Linked DNA regions of Tamandua tetradactyla. The protein of the gene in region 1 purifies or fractionates together with the protein of each later gene. This does not show direct contact. Links are inferred from orthologs where the notes say so. Each region holds a gene or a part of one and is shown on either strand. Other genes may lie near its edges. The genes, in order: HNF1A and PCBD2.

What was found.
Region 2: the proteins of HNF1A (region 1) and PCBD2 purify together in Homo sapiens (affinity purification with mass spectrometry; 4 studies listed by BioGRID and IntAct, with this or other methods). This does not show direct contact. The link is inferred for Tamandua tetradactyla from reciprocal best matches to the Homo sapiens genes HNF1A and PCBD2.

The regions. Positions count from the first base shown.
Region 1 is NC_135331.1:21,253,997-21,264,723, reverse strand, and holds the start of HNF1A (hepatocyte nuclear factor 1-alpha), read right to left. Parts: upstream 4,486-10,727; coding exon 4,157-4,485; intron 2,609-4,156; exon of another isoform or gene 2,254-2,608; intron 1-2,253. UniProt on the Homo sapiens protein: Transcriptional activator that regulates the tissue specific expression of multiple genes, especially in pancreatic islet cells and in liver. Binds to the inverted palindrome 5'-GTTAATNATTAAC-3'.
Region 2 is NC_135346.1:14,035,595-14,046,507, reverse strand, and holds the start of PCBD2 (pterin-4-alpha-carbinolamine dehydratase 2), read right to left. Parts: upstream 4,372-10,913; 5' UTR 4,352-4,371; coding exon 4,268-4,351; intron 4,187-4,267; exon of another isoform or gene 4,009-4,186; coding exon of another isoform or gene 3,982-4,008; intron 1,829-3,981; coding exon 1,697-1,828; intron 1-1,696. Other genes in the region: TXNDC15 (thioredoxin domain-containing protein 15), read right to left, coding at 8,186-8,382.

The DNA.
Region 1 (10,727 bases):
TCCCCACCCACAGCTAAGTGGAGATGCTCCAGGCATCTCCTGCTTTAACTCCAAGGGTTTGGGGAGTCAAAGCAACCTGGGTTCAAATCCCACCACTGCCAGTTATCACCTGTGTGAGATCTCGCATGACCCACAGCCCTTCTGGAGTGTGAGATAAATCCATGCCTACCTCACAGTGCTGTTGGGAGAATTAAATAAGTTCCAAATAGGAATGAAGCATGTAAGGTAGGGCCTGGCCCACCGGAAGTGCTCAATAGGCAGGACGATATTGCTGTCACCATCATCATCAACCACATAATCCAGGGACTCCAGCTCCAAGCTGAGGGAAGAGGGCCAAGGAGAGGAGAAGGTCTGCCCACCCCCTATATCTCGCCTCCTTCCCCTTTTGGGGTCAATCACACATCCACGGCTTTGGGCCTTTTCCCCTCGGGTCTCTGGGGTTCCGGTGCATCTAAGCTCATGGAACTGGGAGACCAGCCTGTTAGGACCCCTCACCCCAAGGGGCTCCTGTAGACCTGGGTTTGAATCCAGCTCTGCCCTTCACTCTCCATGTGGCCTTGAGAAAGTTGCCTAACGTCCTGTGCCTCAGTTTCCTCCTCGGTGTTGTGCGGCTAATATTATTTCCTATTTCAGAGGGTTCGCGGGAGGATTCAACGAGTTAATGCATTTGCAAGTCCTTCATGAGCTCTAAAGCTCTGCGTGGAAGCGAGTCTGTGATGCAATGAACGAGACGAAGTGAAACAGGAGGAGCGACCGGGGAGGGAGGAAAAGGAGGTGAAGTTACCAAGGAGAGGCATGGAACCTCAAGGGCCCCGGGAAGAGCATGGGGTGGAAGTACCTGGGTCCGAGCCCCCGGCATTACCACTTTGTAAGGATTACCTTGGGCAAGTCACTTTGCCTCTCTGAGCCTTAATTTGCTCATCTGTAAAAATGCATTCCGTTAACAAGAGCTGCCTTTGAGTGCACTTAGGATGCAGGTACCCTACGAACATCAGGCTTTTGAATCCTGTGAGTAAGTGTTATTGTCATTTCTGCCTTGCAGAGTAAACTGAGGTTCAGAAGGATGAAATCACCAGCCCAAGCCAAAAGGGACAGAGCTGGGATCCGAACCCAGGCCCAGCCAGTTTAATCAGGGGTATCAGATCCTTTGTCCCACCTTGGCCGCTGGGTTCCTGGGGCTCAGGCCCTACTATGAGACTTGGCAATGCCCAATGGGGAGGATCCAAGAGCTTCAAGGTTGGGGTATGAGGTGGATGCAGGCTGGACCCTGGCCGACGGGGCAGCAGATGTCCATAGAGTCTCAGAGTCATTGTCCCCCACTCAAGCATGCTGTTTGTCAGCCACTGGGCTGGGCAGAGGGCATCTGAGTGGTGAACAAGGCAACACAGGCCTTCTGCTTGAAGAGCTTCTGCGATCACAGCAGGAGACAGAGAACAGACACATAAGGTAATCATGGCTGTGATCTGTGACAGGGGAAAGTAAATGAGGGTAATAGGAGAGAGAGTCACAGGGGTAGGGCCCACCTTTGGATGGGATGGTCAAGGGGCACCTCTCTGAGGAGGGGACATTTGAGCTGAAAGGAGAATGAATCTGCCATGGTAAGATCCAGAAAGTAGGCTCCACGCAGGAGGGACAGCACGTGCCAAGGCCCTGAGGCAGGCATCGGCTTGGTATGTCAAGGGACAGCAATGTCAATGTGACTGGAGCAAAATGACTAAGGGAGAGAGAGGTCAGGGAAGAGGCCAGGGAGGCTGGCGCGGGGACCAAGGCACGGAGTTTGGATTTCATTTGTTGTCCAGGTGGGGAAACTGAGGCAGAAGGCGGGAAAGAGACATGCTCAAGGTCATGCAGTGAACTAAGAGTGGAGACTAAGGGAAGCACTCAGGGTCTTGCTGTGACCTTAGGCACAGGGCACCCCAAAGGAGTTCTGGGACCCGGCACCCACCCCTGCCTTCTCCCAGACATTTGTCCCCTCCAGAGAATCAGCTTCCACTCAAAGTCCTGCGCCGCACCATCTTTGTCCAGCTTCAACCTCACCCAACACCCCGGCGTCCATCGAGGTTCCCCACCTTTCTCTCTGGCTTCTTCCCCTGCCCTGAGGCCAGAGGGCCCACTTTTTTTCCCTCAGGGCGTTTTCAGCTGCCTTTTGTTACCTGAACAATAAGTAACCCAGGTAGTTAGTTATAAACTCCACAGGAACAAGGAGCTGGTTGATAATTTATAGCAACATCTCAAATTTAAATGGAAAGTAAATAGCCTGCTGTTAGCATTAAAGAAAACCCAGTCGGGGTGGGCGGGGGAAGCACTCTAGCCTCCTCTCAGCTTGGGGTGCCGCAGTCTCTCCCCAGCGGGCCTGGGGTCCCTCCACCCTCCTTGGCCTGGGCTCTGCGCTACCTCTGCAGGCCTCTCTGTCTGTCTCCCCGGGGCCCTCTCTCGGCCTCCCCGCCTCCCCTGTCTCCCTCGGCTTCCTGGAATGCCCCGGGTCCCCACTGGCCCCCAGGGAGCACTTTGACCTCTGTTCCTTCCTCAAGAGCTGTGGATCAAGCCTCCCCCCCCACCCCGGCATCTCACCAAAGGGGCTGCTGATCAAGAGGCCCCACCTAGCCAGGTAAGAAAGGCCCCTGGCACCCCCTGCCCCCGCGCCCATCCGGGGCCCTCGGCGGGTCTGGGCCAGCCCCACCCTGCCCAGGTTGTCCTCGCCCTGGCCTGGCCTGTGCCTGTGCTCCTCCCTGCCGCGCGAGCGCCCTTTGCCCTCGTCTTCCTGCCAAGTCGGGGGCCCCCCGACCGCTCTCCTGTCCCCTTCCCGGGCCCTCGGGAGTCCTGGCAGACCCAGAGGTTTACGTGAGGTCACCGGGAAGGCCAGGATCCACCAGCCCTCCCCCACCCCAAGCCAGGATCAGGACCTTGGACAGAAAAGAAACGCTTCCTTGCAGAGAGTCTTTGGGACCGGCCCTCAGACCCCCCCAAGGCACCGCAGGCCCCTAGTCAGAGAGATCCGGGGCACCGGAGAGTATGGGGTTTGGAGTCCCACCTGGGCGTCCTTAATCAAGCAACTCGCTGAGCCTCAGTTTACCCATCTGTGACGCAGCATTATCAATAGATAACCAACTATTAGATGGTTAATACTAATGGATAACAGTTCCTTGGGTGGGGGGGGGATCTCAACGTTGATTATGAATGGGAGGCCTCAGCACAGTACCTGGGGGGTCGTACCCCTCAGCATGCTGGTGGGGGTTAGGGTGGAGGTCATGGAGCCTCCCCACCCCACGCTCCCCCGTCCCCACCCCCTCTGGGAGGTGGGGGTTTGGTTTGCTCAGGCTTCTGCAGGCCACCGTCCCTACAAGTTAATGATCACAGGCCTTATCAGAGCCTTTTGCCATTTATAAATTTATAAAACAAAAGAGAAATAACAAAGCCCGTGGGTAATTAGTAACCAGGTCAGCTCTGCTGAGGAGAGGGGAGGCATTGAGCACAGGACCCACCCAGTTCTCCAGGAGATGGGGAGTCAGCCAGCGGACAGGGGTACGGGACCGGGAGGCTGCTAATGGCGCCTGCTGGCAGGGTGGGGGGGCCTGTGGCTGAGCAGGAAAGGGAGCAGCTCCTGACCCAAGTTTCCATCTTCCCCAGGTAAGACAGACCTGGGCTTCCCCTGCCTGAAAGTCTTGAGTCCCAGGGTGGCCAGGGAAGCCCCTCAAACCCCAGCCTCAGCCCTTCTCCCCTGCCACGCTTCTTGGGCCCTGAGTCTATACCTGGAGGCCTTGGCGGGGAAGTTAGAGTTTGGGGGATTGAAATGGCCATGCTGGCTAGAAATTTCTACCACCCTGTGGCTCTCTAGGCATTGGGGTTGTGGGCTCTGCTGATATTTCCGCCTTTTCCGAGCTCCCCTGGAGCATGTCTCCACCTCCCAGGTGCTGGGCTGAAGGCTCAGGTTCAAGGAGGCACAGGACTCTGCAGAGGGGCTGCCCGGGGACTGGGTCTCCTTCCCCCAGGCAAGGACCCCTCTGAGCCCCTGTGGGCCCCGTCCCCCTTCCTGACACCTAGGCTCAGGGCCGCAGCTCATAGGGACCTGGAACTCTGAAGAGCAGCTGCTCAAGAGCTGGGGCTGGGCCCCTCTGGGCTCCGTCTTGGGACCTGGGGGCAGGGGAGGGGTCCTTACTGCAGAAGGGTCTCCACCACGGCCTTCTGGTGGGCCGCCTCCTCGGGGCTGAGGTTCTCCAGCTCCTTGAGGATGGGCGGCGTGAAGTCTTCCCCGTCGTCGTCCGTCTCGTCCTCGGAGCCCCTCGTCTCCCCCAGCCCATTGGGGAGCTCGGCCAGCTCCCCGCGGCCACCGCTGCCGGCCTCCGCCTTGTCCAGGGGGCCGTCTCCTCCGGCCAGCAGGTAGGGCCCCGGCTCCCCCAGCGCCTGGATCAGCGCCTCTTTGCTCAGGCCCGACTCGAGCAGAGCGGCCAGGAGCTCGGTCTGCAGCGGGCTCAGCGTGGACACCATGGCTCCGCTGTCACGTGTGGGCCGGCCGCCCGCCCGCCGGCCGGTGGGCGCAGACCGGGCGCCCTGCACCCCCAGAAGCCCGCGAGCCAAGCCCCGTGGGCACCCCCAACCCCCAACCCTGGCCCCGGCGGCCGGTGAATCAGGGCCCCTGCCCGCTCTGTTTACATTGGAGCTGGGGAAATTCTCCAAGGTTCATATTTATCCGTGTGCTTAGCGAAGGGCCTGAACTTTGGACTTCAGCCCTGCGGCGCGCGGAGTGCAGGCCTCATGGCGGACGGGGAGCCCCGGCCTAGCCCGGGAGTGCGGGGTGGGGGAGGAGAGGGTGGAGGGCCCCAGGGCGCCCCGGATGCGTGGGCACTGGCAGCCAGGGAGGCCTTGGGGTGAGCAGCGCTGGGTCCCACTCCTAGGACCTTGCAGGGGGTCAGACTGAGGCAGGAGAGCAAAAATAATAATAATAAACACGCGTCCCCTTTTGGGGGAAAAAAGCAGCAAAGGCGTTCTGGGCAGCTGAGCCAGCTCCCCTCAAGGGCAGGGTAAGTCGCATTCATTTTGGGGGATCACCCTTCCCCCCACCACCACCCCCAGGCTCAACAACCAGACCTCCCCATAGGGAAAACGTGTTGACTTCAGTCTACTGTGTTTGAGGAAGGCTGCTGGGTCTGAGGGGTGCCCGATTGCTTCATTGTTTCTACCTGACACTGTGGGAAGCTGTAGGGATTACCCCCGTTTTAGAGAGAAGGAAACTGAGGCTCCGAGACGTGAAGCGATTTGCCCAAAGTCACACAGCCTCCGAGGGAAGAGGCTTGCAGGGCCGGGACTCTGTAAGGAGACAGAGGCACAAAATTTAAGGGGGCACCAAAAAATTCAGTACCCCACATTAATACTGTGATGCAATGTCTTAAAAACTTAAAAGGAATGCAAAGTCCAAGAGAATGAAGAACTTGTCCACACAAGAACTTGTATATAAAATTCAGAGCAGAATTATTCCTAATAGGAGGAAGCAACTCAGATGTCCATTACCTGATGAATGGGGAAATTATAAAACGAATAAAGTACCGGTCCGTGCTACAGTATGGACGAACCTAGAAACATTACGCTAAGTGGAGGAAGCCAGTCCCTGAAGGCCACACTGTTTATGATTTCATTTTATATGAAATGTCCAGAAGAGGCAAATCTAAAAAGATGGAAAGTAGAATAGTGACTGCCAGGGAGCTTTGGGGGGAGGATGGGGAGAAGGGGCTTAGATGGAGCAGCTGTTAACGGGCTTTCTTTTAGGATGATGGGAATGTTCTCAGATTGATTGTGGTGATGGTTGTGCAACCTTCAATCCTCTAAAACCACTGAACTATACACTTCCGAAGGATGAATTTTACGGGGCATGAATGATAGATACATCAATAAAACATATTTTTTACCTGAATGCAGAAAAGTCCATGATGAACAAATGTCAAGAAATTAAATTAGGCCAGGGTCCAGCCCTGCACTTCCACGGCCTGCCTCCCTCGGCTCTCCCTGAGCCCAGCCCTGGGTGAGAGCCTCCCCGCCACGCACCCCTTCCCTTGTTTAGCCACAGCTTTCACAGCATTCGACGTCTCCCGGGAGGGAGGCACACTCTTTCCCCGAGGAGGCTGGGTGGTGCTGAGGGGCCATCCCCACCCCCCCTCCCCAAGCTGGGGCATTTCCAGAGAGCCCTTGAGTATCTTGCGGGAGTTTGCAGAGTCAGGGTCAGGTTTGGCCAAGAAGGAAGAGAAGGAGCCATCAGCCTGGGCACCTGCCATGTGGGCCAGGCCAGCAGAGGAAAGGGGCCTGGCCAACGATGGGTAAAATCCGAAGCTCTGCCCCCAAGTCAGAGCAAATCCACCTTCTCTGTCTGTTCGCCACCCCACCCCACCCCCACAGAGCCTGCGCTCCAGCCCCTTACTCGCTTTACTTCTTCATTTTTGCACAGTTCTCATCATTGTCCAAGATACTTCACACTGGGTGTAGCTAATGAGGACGTGCACTGTGGCTTACGGCCCTTAAGATGATGCCATTTGAGATATATTATGTTAGGTTTTTTAAAATTAAATTTAAAAATAAGAAAACATTTAAAAGGTTTAACCTAAAAACTTTTTAAATTAAAAAAAATACGTATTTTCACCTGTTTCTCTTAACTTTTTTAACGGTGCTACTGGAGCATTTAAAATGGCATAAATGTGACTTGCATTATATTTCTGTTGGACGGGCCCGCTGTCTGATTGACTCACATATGATGTTGATTATTTATGGACCCCTCTCTGCCAGCCTGTGAGCCCCGTGAGAGCAGGGCTTTTGTCTGTCTAATTCACTGCTGTATCCCCAGCGTCTGGAATAGTGCATAGTAGGTGCTCAATAAATGTACTGAATGAATGACTGAGTGGGTAAGGTTCATTATGCACTGACGATGTCTACTTAGCTCTGTGCTAAGCTTTAGCCACGCATGTGATTCTCAGAACAACTCTATGAAGCTGTAATTATCCCCATGCTGCAGGGGAGGAAACCCGCTCAGAGAAGGGAAACGGCTTGCTCCGAAACCGCCCCCCCCCCCCCGCCAGGTTTTAAACCCAGGCTGGCCACAGAGGTTGACACCAGCTGTGCGACTGGTGGCAAGCTGCTCAGGGACTGGGCAGCCTCCTGCTTGAATTCTCAAGTCCAGGAATTCTGTCCTGGATCCTAAGCCACACTCCATCAGTGTCCCTTCCTGGCTTCCCGGTCCTGGCTTATTCCCCTCGGCAGGGAGGGAACTTGCTGCTGGCAGTCGGTGACTTTTCACCTAGAACAGGGACCCGAGAAGGAGCAAGGGAGGAGGGGGGGTGCTGGATGTTTGGCACAACTTTTGAACTCATGTTGTACTGGAGGCCAGGCAGCTGGACTGGTGACTGCGACTGAAAGTAAACTTGGTTGGAGAAGGGATGGCGGGGTGGGGGGAGGGGAGAGCCTCCTGGGGCCTCCCCTGGTGGGGGTGGGGGGGTGGGGGAAGAGTCACTCTGATGGATAAAAAGGCCTGTCAGTCACCTAAGCCCGCCCTCCCCACCCTCACTGGGCAAAGTGGAATTAACTCAGTGTGGGGGGAGGCGGTTTGCCTTCCTGAGAATTTGCAGGGCCTGGCTTAAATTTCACTGTGCATACCCACCAGCAACCTTGCCCAGCTGGGTGGCTTCCCTCTCCCACAAAATAAAGATATGGATCTCGTAGAGTTGCTGTTAAGACAGTTTCTATAAAGAGTATAATGAAAGGATCCCAGACTTTCTTGGTTCAAGACACCCTTAGTGTCTCAACATTTCCGCGACATCTCTAGCCCTCTTCCCCCCACTAAAAAACCAACAGTCATGTTTAGTAAGCGGTTAGGTCAAAACAATAAATATATATGCCCTAACAATTTAGTGGTCACTTGAGAAAACAATAAAGAAGGCATATACATTGAAAGAAAATATTTTTAATTCATTCTTAAATAACCTTAAGAACCTACCAACAGGAAAACAAACAAACAAAAATAGAACATACCAACAAGATACATCTGTCTTCGGGGCTCTGCGAAGATTTTCGAACCTTGGAATCAGATTGGACACTACACCCTCATTTCCTGTTCCACAATGATTTTTGCAAGATACTTGCTCTTTTTAAAAATATATTTTTTATTGAGAAATATCCATACACATGCAGTCCAATCATATTATACAATCATTGCCTCACCACATCATCACATGGCTGTGTATTCTTCACCATGATCATTTTTAGAATGCTTGCATCACTCCAGAAAAAGAAATAGAAAGAAGAAAAAGAACTCATACAACCCATACCCCTTACCCCTCCCTCTCATTAACCCACAGTATTTTAATCTATCCAATTTTCACCCTTTATCTCCCCCATTATTTATTCATTTTTTTTCTCCTTAATATTATTTTTTACTCATTTGTCCATAAAGGATACTTGCTTTTTTTTTTTCTTTTGACATGGGCATGCTCTGGGGATCGAACCTGGATCTTTGGCTTGGCAGGCGAGAACTCTGCCACTGAGCCACCATTGCACCACTCAATGCTTGCTTTTTAATCACAGCAATTGCCAGAAGCCCAGCTTCACACCGCTATGACATCGTTGGAAGGAGTGCATCTTCAGCGAACCACGAAATCGTGTTCCACCTTGAGCTAGCAGTTTGCAAAGCGTCCAACAGATGCCGCTGTGTTTCCATGAAAAATCCTCTAAAATGGTCTGTGGCCCTGAGCCACTTCACTGCACAATTTGAGAACCGTAGGTCTAATGGTTGTCCCCTGGACATAGCAGATATTCAATAAACGGTAGCTGGGCACTTTTTCACGATCCTCTCCTACTTGGTGAGTAGCTGTCTGCAAGTCTGAAAATTTTTTGAGGTCCAGGCAGGACACAAGGCTTCTCCTTTGCCTTAAAAGCCAGAGTAAGAGCGGTGCCCTTTCGACTGCACTGCCCACCCCCCCCCAGCACCCACCCCGGCTGTTGATTTTAATCCAGACCATGCGACAGGACCCACCTGTATTTCAACTCGATGATTCTCCCCTCTGCCCCAATTTCCACCACTTAATCTTTATTGGGCAATATTTTTAAACAGGATTTATTTTTTAGAGCAACTTTTTTTAGGTTTATAGAAAAATTGTGCAGAAAGTACAGCCCCCGCTCAGTTTTCTCCTGTCTTGCATTAGTGTGGTACATGTGTTACAGTTGATGAACCAATATGGACACATTATTAGCAACTAAAGTCCCTAGTTGACATTAGGGTTCATTCTTTGTGTTGCACAGCTCTATGGGTTTTGACAAATGTGTGATGTCGTGTGCCCACCCTTACAGTATCATATAAAATTTCTGCATGATCTAATTTAACTCATCGCAACAGTCTCACGAGGTAGGTACTTTCATTCCCATTTACAGGAGGAAACTGAGGCTCAGAAAGGAAAAAAAGCCCCATGGGAAGGAAAGAATGAGAGCTGAGCTGCGTTTGTTTCATTGTCATCCCCTTCTTTAACAGCAGAGGGCTCTCTGCTTCCTCACTGCAAAAGTTTCCAACCCTGCCCTTCCCTAAGAATTCCCAGAGTCGTGGGCTAAAAAAATTCAGATTCCAAAGCCCCACCCCTACTGTTCCTGCACCAGACTTTCCAGAGGGAATGCCAAAGAACCTTTCTTTTGAACAAGATCCTCAGGCAATTCTTGTGGTCAAGTAAGTTTCCAAAGCTCTGTTTGAAACAGCCTCTTGGCTGTCTCAAGGTGTTTACAAGTGAAGGCAAATAACCTGGTTCCAACTAGCCAAAGCCCAAAACAGACAGCCTAAGATACAAGGGCACTGATGGAACTGAGCAAATTGATCCCTTAGCTGGGGCTCCATACTTCCATCCTAGGGCTAGTTGAGACCACTGTTAGCAGAACAAATTGTTGCACGTTTCACCAGGTGCTAGTTGTGGCACCTTGTACAAGTGCCGTAACTGCGTGGAGCCTCTGTCTCCCCATCTTAAAGTAGGGATAATGTGGGACCCAACTCACACCTGGGTGTTGTTTCTATTTAATTTCATTTTGTTTTCAAACCACTTCCTCTGATATGCAAGAAACATACTAGACACGAAGGAAGCCCAATCAAGCTCTCAGATAGTTCAGGGAGAGTTGATACTTTAGGGGGAGTCCAAGAAAACAGCCTTTCCTCAATCCCCCCAGGAAAGGAAAGGTTGAGAGGACAGAAAACATCACAAGATCCCGGGAAACCAGGGCTGGGGCCAAGCAGGGCCTCGTTCTCTACCAAGGGGAAGTGCTGGTTTTCCTTGTCGCGGCTCCCCTGCTCCCACGCTCGTCCTCCAGAGTTCAGAAGTTGTCCAGTTCCCTGACATTTCCCTACTGCGGGGGAGAAGGCTGCTTGCCCTGCTGTGGTGCCAGGGCTCCTGCAGGATGGTGAGGGGGGGACCTCCCCCGTACCTTGCCATTTGGTTTCCATCTGTTACACCTAGAACCTGAAGATCAGGGGGTCTCGGGGTCTCTTGGGGTCTGAGCCCTGGCTGCCCCTGCGTGGCGGCGAGCTCGTTCTGGTTCAGAGGCGGCGTCTGGTCCTCTGGGGATTGCGGGGCGCGCAGTGACAAGCCCTACTCGGAAGCTGTAATACATGGATGAAGCCTGAAGACATTGTTTTGGGTGAAATGAACCAGGCACAAAAGGACAGCTATTGTATGATTTTGCTTTTGTGAAATACCTAGAATAACAAAATCCATAGAAAA
Region 2 (10,913 bases), on another chromosome or scaffold:
CTTCTTGAAATGGCCCAAAATCCTCCATGACGAAAGTTCTCCCTCACTGCCATGAGTAATACACCCAGCCTGCTCAACTATACGTATGTTCCTAGTGGTCCTTGGCTGGAGGGCAATGACAGTTGCTATTATATCAGTTGCCATTACAGGGTCATTGTGCATACAGCAGTCATAGGAGACTGGCTAGAAAACCGGCCCCAGGATAGAATCTCTGTGCTGGTTCTCTGAATAAATTCCCTGACATCATTGATTTTCTTGCCATTACCCCTTTCTCCTAAAAGCTGTGTGAGGGGTAAAAAAAAAAAAAAAAAAGATGAGTTAATTAAATATCCCAGTGAATAACCTTACAATTAATCAAGGATATCCTACACAGCTTCCTTTGCCTTTCCTTCCATATCTGAAAGTCACCCCAAGTGTAAGGATTGATTCTGGAGGACTGACTCATGGGCAAAGCCCGAGGCAACACAACTCAAGTAGTTTAAGCCACATGTTCAAGCCCAATAAATTAGCCCAGGCTTAAAGAAGTCAAGCTGTACACATGTAAGAATTTTAATAAGCTTAGAAAATGCTACCAAGAGCTTATGCATAAGCTTACTGTACCAATGGGATTCCCTGCCACCAGTCAGAATGCCAAGACCCTAACAAGAGCTGTTGAGCAGGTGGGGCAGCAGGGACAGGCAGTCTGTCTGTCTGGTACAGGTTTCCGCACGAGTTGGGGACTCACAGCAGAAGGCTGGCAGCCACATGGCTGGAATAGCACATGTAGCTCAGTGAAGTGAGTGGCATTAACTAGGAAAACATGAAGGTTTCTCTCTGGTGGAAATCTGTTGCTCACACACCCTTTTAGAAACTAGCAAACAGTCTGCATTTATCAAATGCATGTTTTTACCCAGAACTGTGTTAGGTACCATAGAGAATTACTTAAGCAAACATGCTCTCTGATTTCTAGATGCTGACATCTAATATAAATAAAAACAATAAATCTGTCCAAAGGATTGCTAAACTAACCGAACAAACATGAAAGTCAAAAGCATTTACCTTATATAAATGCAATGAAGTAATAACTGAAGGGCAAGTCATGGGAGATGACTCTCTAAGCATGACTCCATTAGGTGGGGCCCTGATAGAACAGTTACTTTGTCAAGACGGAGTCTCAGGGCGGGGAGGTCAGGTTTTAAGAAAAGTTTCAAGGGCTGGCTATAGAGCTTGGGAAAAATGGGTCAATCAAGGAAGGGGGTGCACCATGGGTGAAGATTCAGAGATAGAAATACATCTACAGGAAGAAAGAACATTTACCAGCCACCCAGGGAAGTCGGGGGAATCAGTCAGGCAAATGTATGTTGCCAATCATTTTCTCTCACGCTCCCTTCTGATAAACACTAAAAGCTCATACCTTTTTTTTTCCCAATGTATTTTGAAATTTCCAAAGAAACTAAATACCCTAGCCAACACCAAATCAAAGCAATACTGACTTTAAAATTTTATTTTCCAAATGACACAAACCAAACCTTTCCCCCAGAGCTAAGTATCACCCAGGTAAGTTGTAGTAACTGCCCAGGAGAATTCTTAAGGAAGGGAGAATTTGGATCTTGGATCCTGGATCCACATGGGACCAGACAACCAACAGTTTCAGAATTAATTACAGCCTAAGGTGACAAAACAGACCATAGCATTAGTAAGAATTTATAATATCTACCTGATTAAAGTTTTTGAATGAGAATTCTTTGTAGATGGCATCTCTCTCACTTAATTCCGACCATCCTGCTGCTTTAAGATCAAGTATAGCTTGGTTCCTCTCTTCTGCTGTCAACCCGTGAGCACCCGCTGACTGTAAAGAGAATACATTTAATATCTGAAAATGTAAAGATTTAGTTAAACTCAAATGAACTTACAGTTCTCTACCTTATGTAAAGATGCAGAGAAAAGTTTCAAGGGCAACAAATTCTCACCATTGTTGGCTCCTTTGTTCTCAAAAGACAGACAAGCACATGGCTAGCTCTGTGCAAAATGAGCCACCTCCATGGTATGTTTCCTTCCCTCCCCTTACTGCTGCCTCAAACTCCACAATTCTGCTTCTCTGTTTATTACAGATCTAGCCAAGACTGACTATTTCCCCATTACCACTGGTCATCTCAGACATTTGCAGAATTGCAGCACTCAAGGACTTGGAAACTTGGTGCATACACACACGCCTGAGGAAACCTTGCAAGCTCACTGACAAAACCAGGATTAGAACTCAGGGTTCTAATCTCCTATGCTTCTGCTCTTTAGATGGTCCCACAATACAATACTAGGTTTCACTGCTTATGCACACGGGTCTTAACTGTTTGGGCTCATTATCCCCTTTTCAAATCTGATGAGTCCTGGGCAATCCTCAGGTAGTGGGGGGGAGGCCAGGACAAATGTACTTTTACACACAATTTGTATTATAACTTCTAGGGATTCACAGACCCTGTGGACCAAAGGCAAAAGGCCCTTGTCTGTGAAGTGAATTTATGAAACCCTTTTCTCAAAGCAACAGAAGACAAACTCTCTCCACAATTTGACCAGAGTGCTGCCAGGCCCAAGCACTTATGTGCTCTGTCTAGCTTGTTCCTACCTGATTTTTACAAACCTCGGTTGTACACCTCTGTTGTGAGGTGTAAAAAGGATGCTAATAAACCAGTTTTTCAGTCTTTCTTCCATGTTAGATCAGCTGCTCTTTTCCACAGCTAACAAAAGTAAAAACTTAAAAGTAAAAGCCTCTTTAAAAGGCATGTTGCAAATTTAAAAATAAAAAGATCTATTTGTTAGTTTCACAATGATAGTTTTGAGCAATTTTACACAAAGACCCACTGTAAGAAATAATCTAAAATTCTTATTCAATACAAATATCTAAAATCAACTCAGAATAGTTCACTAAAGAAATGGAATTATCTGTGCCCACACTGAATAGCTACAAAGAAAACTATCAAGCATGCTGCCGTAAAGCAGCAGTCACCTGGAGCCTACAGAATGCTTCCTGAGTTGCTTTTCTCTGCATGCTCAGCCATCCACATGTCGATGAGCGCAATGGCATGCACTCTGTGCTCACAACAGATGTCTGCCCAGAAACCGAGATCATGACCAGGCCTGGAAAATGGAATCACTTCATCCACCTAACACTCCTAGCCCCCTTCAGGGTCCATCCCTTTGTGGTGGGTTTCCTTTTTTAGGGGAAGTGGGGAAGAGACTGAGAAGAACATGGGATCTGGAAAGAGTAACTTGATTCAAGGCCCAGCTTTCTTACTTTTAGCTGTGGAATGCTGAATAAATCGCCTACCCTCTCTGAATTCTAGGGTCCTCATCTCTATAGTAGGAATATTACCATATCTACCTGCCGATATCTTTTGAAAGACTTAAGACATTTTGCATGTCAAGGCACCCAGTCTAGAATCCGACACCAGGCAGCCTCTCAAATCAAATTCGTAAGTTCTTATCCCAACGCCATGTCTGTACTTGACCACCAACCCCTTGGAAAGGGGTGTACGTTGAGACAAGCCTGGGTGACCATAAAGACTCAACTTCTGTTCTCTCCCCAATAGCCACGCATAGGCAACAAGGTGCTTCTCATCCTCTATCATCGAGCTAGTCTAGATCTCTCCTATTAAAGAAATTCTAAGCAGTGTCAAATGAGCAACTTAAGAAAATAAAACGGTGAGTTTAATTCAACACCTCTCCTCTAGGTGGTGCTGCACGTTAACGTTTTCCCTCAAGTTAACGTCACAAAATATTATTTCCAAAGCAGGAAAACGGACCGAACGCCCCTTGAAAGAGGCAAGAAAAAACGATGTGCCACACACAGAAACTACAATTTATTAATAATTATTCCGAAAAATGAACACCAAAACAAGTTAGTTCATTCAACAATCAACCCGTTGACGGCGGGCCGCGACGGAGACGGTCCTGCCCCCACGGAGCGCACACCCTAGAGGACCCAGCCGCGCAGTGAGCGTCACTGACCATCAAATGTCTTGCAATACTTTTCATATTTATGAAGTCCTCTCATAATTTTTAAAAACAGACCCCGTTCCCATTTGTTTTCCGGCTGGCCATTTCGTAGGCTGTGACGGAATGCTGAAGCCGTGGGAAACCTGGAAGTTGCTTCACTCAGCCCAGCGCGCCGGCTGTGGCTCTGGGCCGAGCCCGAAGGCCGGGCGGACTCGCGGGCCTGCCCGGGCCCCGCTGCCCCTCCGCCGGCGCCGCGGGGGCCTCGCCCTCCTCCCGCACACGCGGACCCACGACTCACCACGACCGCGAGGCTCGAGTCCCGGCCCCGCAGCGCGAGGAAGAGGCGCCGCGTCGCCCCGAGCGCCCCCAGGGCCGCCGCCATGGCCTCGCGCCGAGGGCTGCCCCGCGCGCCGCCTGCACGCCCGCCGGCCCGCGCTCCCTCGGCGCCCGCCGCCTACGCCCAGCCGCGAGGCTGAGCCGGCGCCGGCGGCCGTGCAGACGGCTCCCAGCCCAGGCCGAGGCGCCCCGCACAGGCCGCTGCGCAGGCCCAGGCGCGGTCAAGACCCCGGAAAGCCCCAGGAGTGGCCGTGGTCGCCAGCTTTGTGAGCAGCCGGGCCGACGTGACGCTGCGGGCCTGCCCATCCCGTCTCTGCTGGCCTTCGCGTCACCCCTGCCCAGGTGTCGGGTTTTCCTGTCTGGCGGGACGCTGCGGGCTTCCTTTCGTCCTTAGGCTTGGCCTCGGCTTCTGTCCTTCGGGGTCCGGAATCCTGCCGCGGCGTCGGGCCTCGGAGTGCCGCGGGTTCGCACACGGTCTGACCGGCCCCGACTCCCGCGTGGGCCTGCGGCGAGCGGGCGGAGATGGGCTGCGGGTGCTTAGGTGCCGTCTCTCCAGTTGTCTTTAATTCAGCATTCGCGGGAGACGCCGGACCGTATTGGTTCAAATCTAAGTCGGGCAACCGGGGGTTCGAAGCTGCGTCCTGCGCTGACATTCTTTTCTGCAAGTCCTTGGGCAAGCTGGCTCATCTGTATTTACCTAGACAAGATAATCTGGAAAAGCTGACACCTAGTGCTTTGTAAAAAGTAGCTGTATCAACATGGGCATTGGTGTAGCACACTCTGAGCTCTCCAGATACCTATGGACGGGTCTGGAAAATTTTCCTCATACCGTTTTTGGGAGTATTGTTTCCTTTATGTGTGTGTGTCTTATTAATATTTTTACCTTATTTTGAGGTATAATTCACATACCATAAACTTTACCCTTTCAAAGTGTACAGTTCAGTGGTTTTTAGTACATTCACTTGTATCATTTATTTTTTTACTAAATAGCTTAATATAAGCGGCTTTGCGGAGGATAGCAATATACTCAAAATATATATTTTAAAAGATCAAAGTCCATTGTACAACTTAGCATTTGTTAGCAGTCTTGATTTTTGAGAAAATACTTTGCTTTGAAATAGCCCAAAATTGACTTCTAACCAGACCCACCTTCTTCCCTTTTGTTCACATGACAAGACAACTATTTCAAGAGGAAAACTGAGGGGAGGAATCACACTGGAGGCCTTGACCAAATGTTGCAGGTCTCAGGGCATTTATCCAAGACATTAAAATGCATCAGCTTAGCTTCATTCCGTTGTAGCCTTGGTTTCTTCTGCGGGATGCCTGAGGCTAAGATACAAGGGGTAGGATTGAAAGTTGTGTTTCCACTATTTGCAGTGTGTATTTATGATTGTGGAAAATGCTCTACAATTTTGCTCATTAAAGTGAGAACTGGAGAATGAATTGGTAGGTATGAGTTAACAAGTTAGTGACCCCTTGTTTTCTGTACGTTTTACTTGCATCCTTTTCATTCCTTGATAGCACTGCATGAGGCTGTGGCATCTGCCCTAGTCAAGAAAGCAGCAGCAGTTGCAGCTAGGGCCAGAGGAAGGGCTGGCCACCAATAGGAGCTGTGTATGCTCTGTCCTCACATGCAGCTTTCCAGTTAGTAAGATGTAAGCTATCTCAGCAAAGATTTACTGAGTGCGTCCTCTATAATAGACACCATGCTTGACTTGGAATAGTTTAGCTCCCATTTTCCTTTCCCTCAACACCAGTGTCTCCTAGTGTTCCATCGGGCTCTCTACACCCAAACCTCCTCTCCAGGGGCTCACCTTGCTCCACGTGTCTGCAGAAGAACCACATGTAACCAATCTCAGCCAAGTGTTAGAAGCAAAGCCATGGATCTCTTGGTCATCCAGGGAGCCTTCCCCCACCCCCAGTTTAGATATGAAAATTCCCACCCTGGGAATCTGCCCCCAAGGAAGTGAACCCATATACAACCATAACATCCAGCACAAGGAGATGGGTTAGGTAAGTAATCCTGAAATTACTCAAAGCCTGTTTTGTAGCTACAGTTAGGAATATTATTATCAACAGTAAAATATTTACCACTTGTTAAGGGAAAAAAATGATAAAACAAGGTCCTAAATTAAATTATATGTACATTATGATTACAGCTATAGGAAACACCCAGGAAAAGACTGGAGGGAAATATATACAATGGCTGCCCAGGTTGCAGCACAGAGAGGCCAGGCAGGGTGCCATCCTGCCTAAAGGCTCTGGAGTCAGAATGACTAATTTTGAAACTTGCTCCTACCACTGAAAACTGCATGACCCAGGAGCAAATTATTTAGGACCTGTTTACTCTTGTGTAAAATGAAGATATTTAATAGTAGTGTCAGTCTCATAAGGCTGGTGTGTAGATTAAATGAAACAGTATATGCAAAGAACTTAAAATAGTTCCTGGTATGTACACAGTAATACTCAAATGTTAGTTATAAGATAGAATCACTATGTTGTTTTTCAATATTTGCAATTAAAAATATATATGGAGGGTGGGCCATGGTGGCTCAGCAGGCAGAGTTCTTGCCTGCCATGCTGGAGACCCAGGTTTAATTCCCAGTGCCTCCCCATGAAAAAAAAAAACAGATAAAAATATACATGGAAGCTCAGCTCAGCTTGATCAACTGACTATCTGTAACCTGGCAAGTGATTTAATCTTTCTATGCCTCAGTTTGCTCATTTGCAAATGGAGATACTGGTACTATTCTGAGCATGGTCCCCCCACCATCCCAGCCAAAGCTATCCACAATATGACACATAGCTATAAAGTTGCAAGCAACCATGTGTTATAACACTGAGAAAGGGACTCATCTTAAGTTCTATTTTGATAAAATATCAAGATGCCTTATAAAATGAACATTCAGCTACTCTAAAACACAGGAAACAATTAGTATTAAAATAATTTATTAGTATGCAATCAGCTATTTTATATATTTAGGGATTGCTTAGAAATAGTGTTTCAGAAGGTCTGTATAAACAATGTATTATTATGTCATCTCTTTACTAAATGTGTCCTGAACCAGACTGGAATCAACTTGTAGGCAATGGCAGTATTTACACTTCCTTTGGATCTCAAATCTACCACAATGTTAACAACATTTTAGGGCTCAACTAACAAATGCTGGTTGATTAACCATGACTAAAATTTAAGTTACACTTTAGCATAGGAAGGAACTCTCAATAAAATAGCTTTAATTATGATGAAAGCACTTTCTTCTAGTCATCTGCCTTGTCCACACACTTTGTAAGCCCTTCAAATTATCTAAGTAAAATTAGAGAACATATTCACCAAGGTATTTGACTCTTTTATTTCCCCATCAACAAAGACAGCAAGTAGCAGTTGCACTTGTGAGCTCACACTAATTCATTCCAATTACTCTTCTCTTAACTAAGTACATTCCTGCTTATGGACTCTAAAAGAAATTGCAAAAGAACAGAAAACCAATCTTCTTAGACATATAGGGAAGCTAGAGTTTTCTGAAACTACATGTAAAGTCGGATTTCTGCCTTCTATATAGTAAGCATATTGTTCTCTTACTATTCTACCAGAATACGTTTTCACATATTAAACTAATTACTCTCTTAAAGTATTGTATTATGTTCAAGTAGTGAAAGCAAGAATGGTGAATTCTATTGAATACTGTATTTGCTTATTATAATACTAGTTAAAACACCATTTACATTTTTTTTTACATATTCAGTAGTTGAACAAATGCATAATTCTTTTAAGCTAAGTGAAACTGCAAGTTAACACCTCACTGAAGAACATACATGAAATCACGATAATTTCTGAAATGAACTGAAATTCCTCTTTCCAACTTCTTTCAGGCCATGACTACTCCGCATGTTCTTGCTCTTGTCCTGGAATGAGCCACCGAATGCTCTCAGTTCGAATGGTAGCATACATAATAAAGCTAATTAAAAAGAATAAGGAAAAGACAAGCAACCAGTCCACACTTTTGATCAAAGTGCTAGGAAGAGGGCCTGTTTGGTCATCCTGAGTTACCACCACATTTTTCTTGGCTTCTATACCTGAAAGAGAAATCAAGTGGTTGAAATCAGATAGAGAAAGCACCCAGGGCTGATTTGTCTGAAGTATTATGCGTGGTATGCAAAATGATATGCATCTTAAAATAAACATCACCACTAGTATATCTGGGATGGATTTCATTGCCTGTCGGTATAATCTGTAACTTGCCTTTCTCCTCACCACATCAAAAGAACAGGAATCCATTCAGCTGTTCAAAGCTAAAACACTAGAATTTCTGTGAACTCATCAGAGGTTTCTTAGCCAAGCATCACAAGGGCTTTTTGTTCTCTTTTGAGACCAAAGTTCAACAAGTAACTAGTAAAACTATTCTCAGGAGTCTACAAAACATTTTCACAGGTTAGGTCATGCTAAATTCAAAATGCTTTTAAAGAATTTACTGAAAGAATTGTTAGAGCAACTAACCACCACTTGGATCAGAAATTCTCAAAGATGATGTGACTGCTGTTCCCATCTGTGTGCTGGTTTTCTTAGCGCACGGAACAAAATGGTGCCGTCTACCCTGTCAATCTAATGACAACCAGGGGTCCAGCAGACTTAGAATTTCTAAAGTTCTCATAAGCCCTTTATTTACTCTGAGCAGTTGAGTGCTTGGTTCTGTAGTGTTAGGTATAAGTAATTCATGCAACTCAATATATTTGGAAGATATGTTATAATTTATATATATTTCCAGTGAATATAATTTATATATCAGGAAGTAAAGTGCTCATATTTAACTTTTGAGAAGAGAACTTTCCCAGTTGAGGAAATTTCTTCAATTTATCTGTTCAAACTTTGTGAACAGCATAAAAAAAAAAAAGGCCATCTGTTTTGGCAAATTTTAAGGAATTACAACAGCATTTACAAATGGATTAACAAATGGAACTATACAGCAACAAAAATGAACACATAAGCATACATAACAATATAGATGAATCTCACAAACATAATGCTGAGAGGAATAGGCCAAACACAAGACTGTTATATACTGTATGTCTCCATGAACATAAAATTCAAAAAGAGACTACAGTCTATGGTATTAGGGGACAAAATTGTAGTTTTCTCTAGGGAATGTGAGCAGAATAGCAATGAGGGAGAGCTGATTACCCTGGGTGTTCACTTTGTAAAAATTCATCATGCTATACACTAATGATCTATGCATGCTTTTCTGTAATTAGTGTAAATGAAAAATGTACATAGAAAGGCACAGGAAAAGTATATGGTATGCAAATTATATCTCAATAAAGTCAAACTTTTTTAAAGGTATCTACAATCATAATTAAAATTACCTCTTTTTTGGGAGGGATTAACTTTTTATTTTGAAATAATTTCAAACTTATAGGACAGTTGCAAAATAATACAAAACCCATACAGAGAACTCCAACACACACCCACACAGACACTTGGATACCCAGATCCACCACTTTTAACATTTTCCACATTTTCTATATCATTCAATCCATCCGTCTGCAGATGTACTTTTATTTTTCATTGTTTTATTGTGAAAAACAACATATATACAAAAAAGCAAATTTCAAAGCATACCACAACAATTAGTTATAGATTTCAGAGTTTCAGGTTTACAGTTTCACAATTTTAGGTTTTTCCTTCTAGCTACTCCAAGACACTAGAGACTAAAAGAAAATATAATGAATCACCAGTCATACTCATTTGTTCAGTCCTATCTTCTCTGTTAGAGCTCCACCTTCTCCTCTGATCTGTCTCCCAATCTTATAAGAGTATTTGGGCTATGCCTATTCTAACTTTTTCATGTTGGAAGGGGCTGTCGTCAAAATGGAATGGGGGATAGAACTAGTTGATGTTCTGGAGAGGATGGCCCCGCTGGGTTTTAGGACTTATCTAGCCTAGGAACCATCTGGAGGTTGTAGGTTTCTGGAAAGTAATCATAGTGCATGGAACCTTTGTAGAATCTCAGAGAGAGCCCTCGGTTCTCATACAAGAATGGTTCTGGTTGGGGTTTGGCAAACTGTGGTAATTAGCAGTATCTAGCTGAACCTTGCACTAAAAGTGGCCTCCCATAGTGGCCTCTTGACTCTATTTGAACTCTCTCAGCCATTGATAGTTTATTTTGTTACAATTCTTTTCCCTCTTTTGGTCAGGAAGACATTGTCAATCCCACAGTGCCAGGGCCAGATTCATTCCTGGGAGTCATATCCCATGTTGCCAGGTAGACTTTCATCCCTGGATATCATGTCCCACATAGAGGGGAGGGTAATGATTTTACTTGCAGAGTTGGGGTTAGAGAGAGAGAGAAACCACATCTGAGCAACAGAAGAGGTCCTCTGGAAGTAACTCTTAGGCATAACTATAGGTAGGCGTTTGGGTGGTTTAAATGATCTGTCTAGGCAGGGTGAGTTAGATTATGTACTACAGAAAACTTAGGTTTTGGACAAAATAAACCTCTCTTCCTTTGGTCTCATAGAGGAGGTAAAGTTCTAAAATAAAATCTCTTCCTTACCCCAGTATTCTGATTTACCTTAATCCCGACTGGATCAGCTTTGTTCTTATCTCTAAT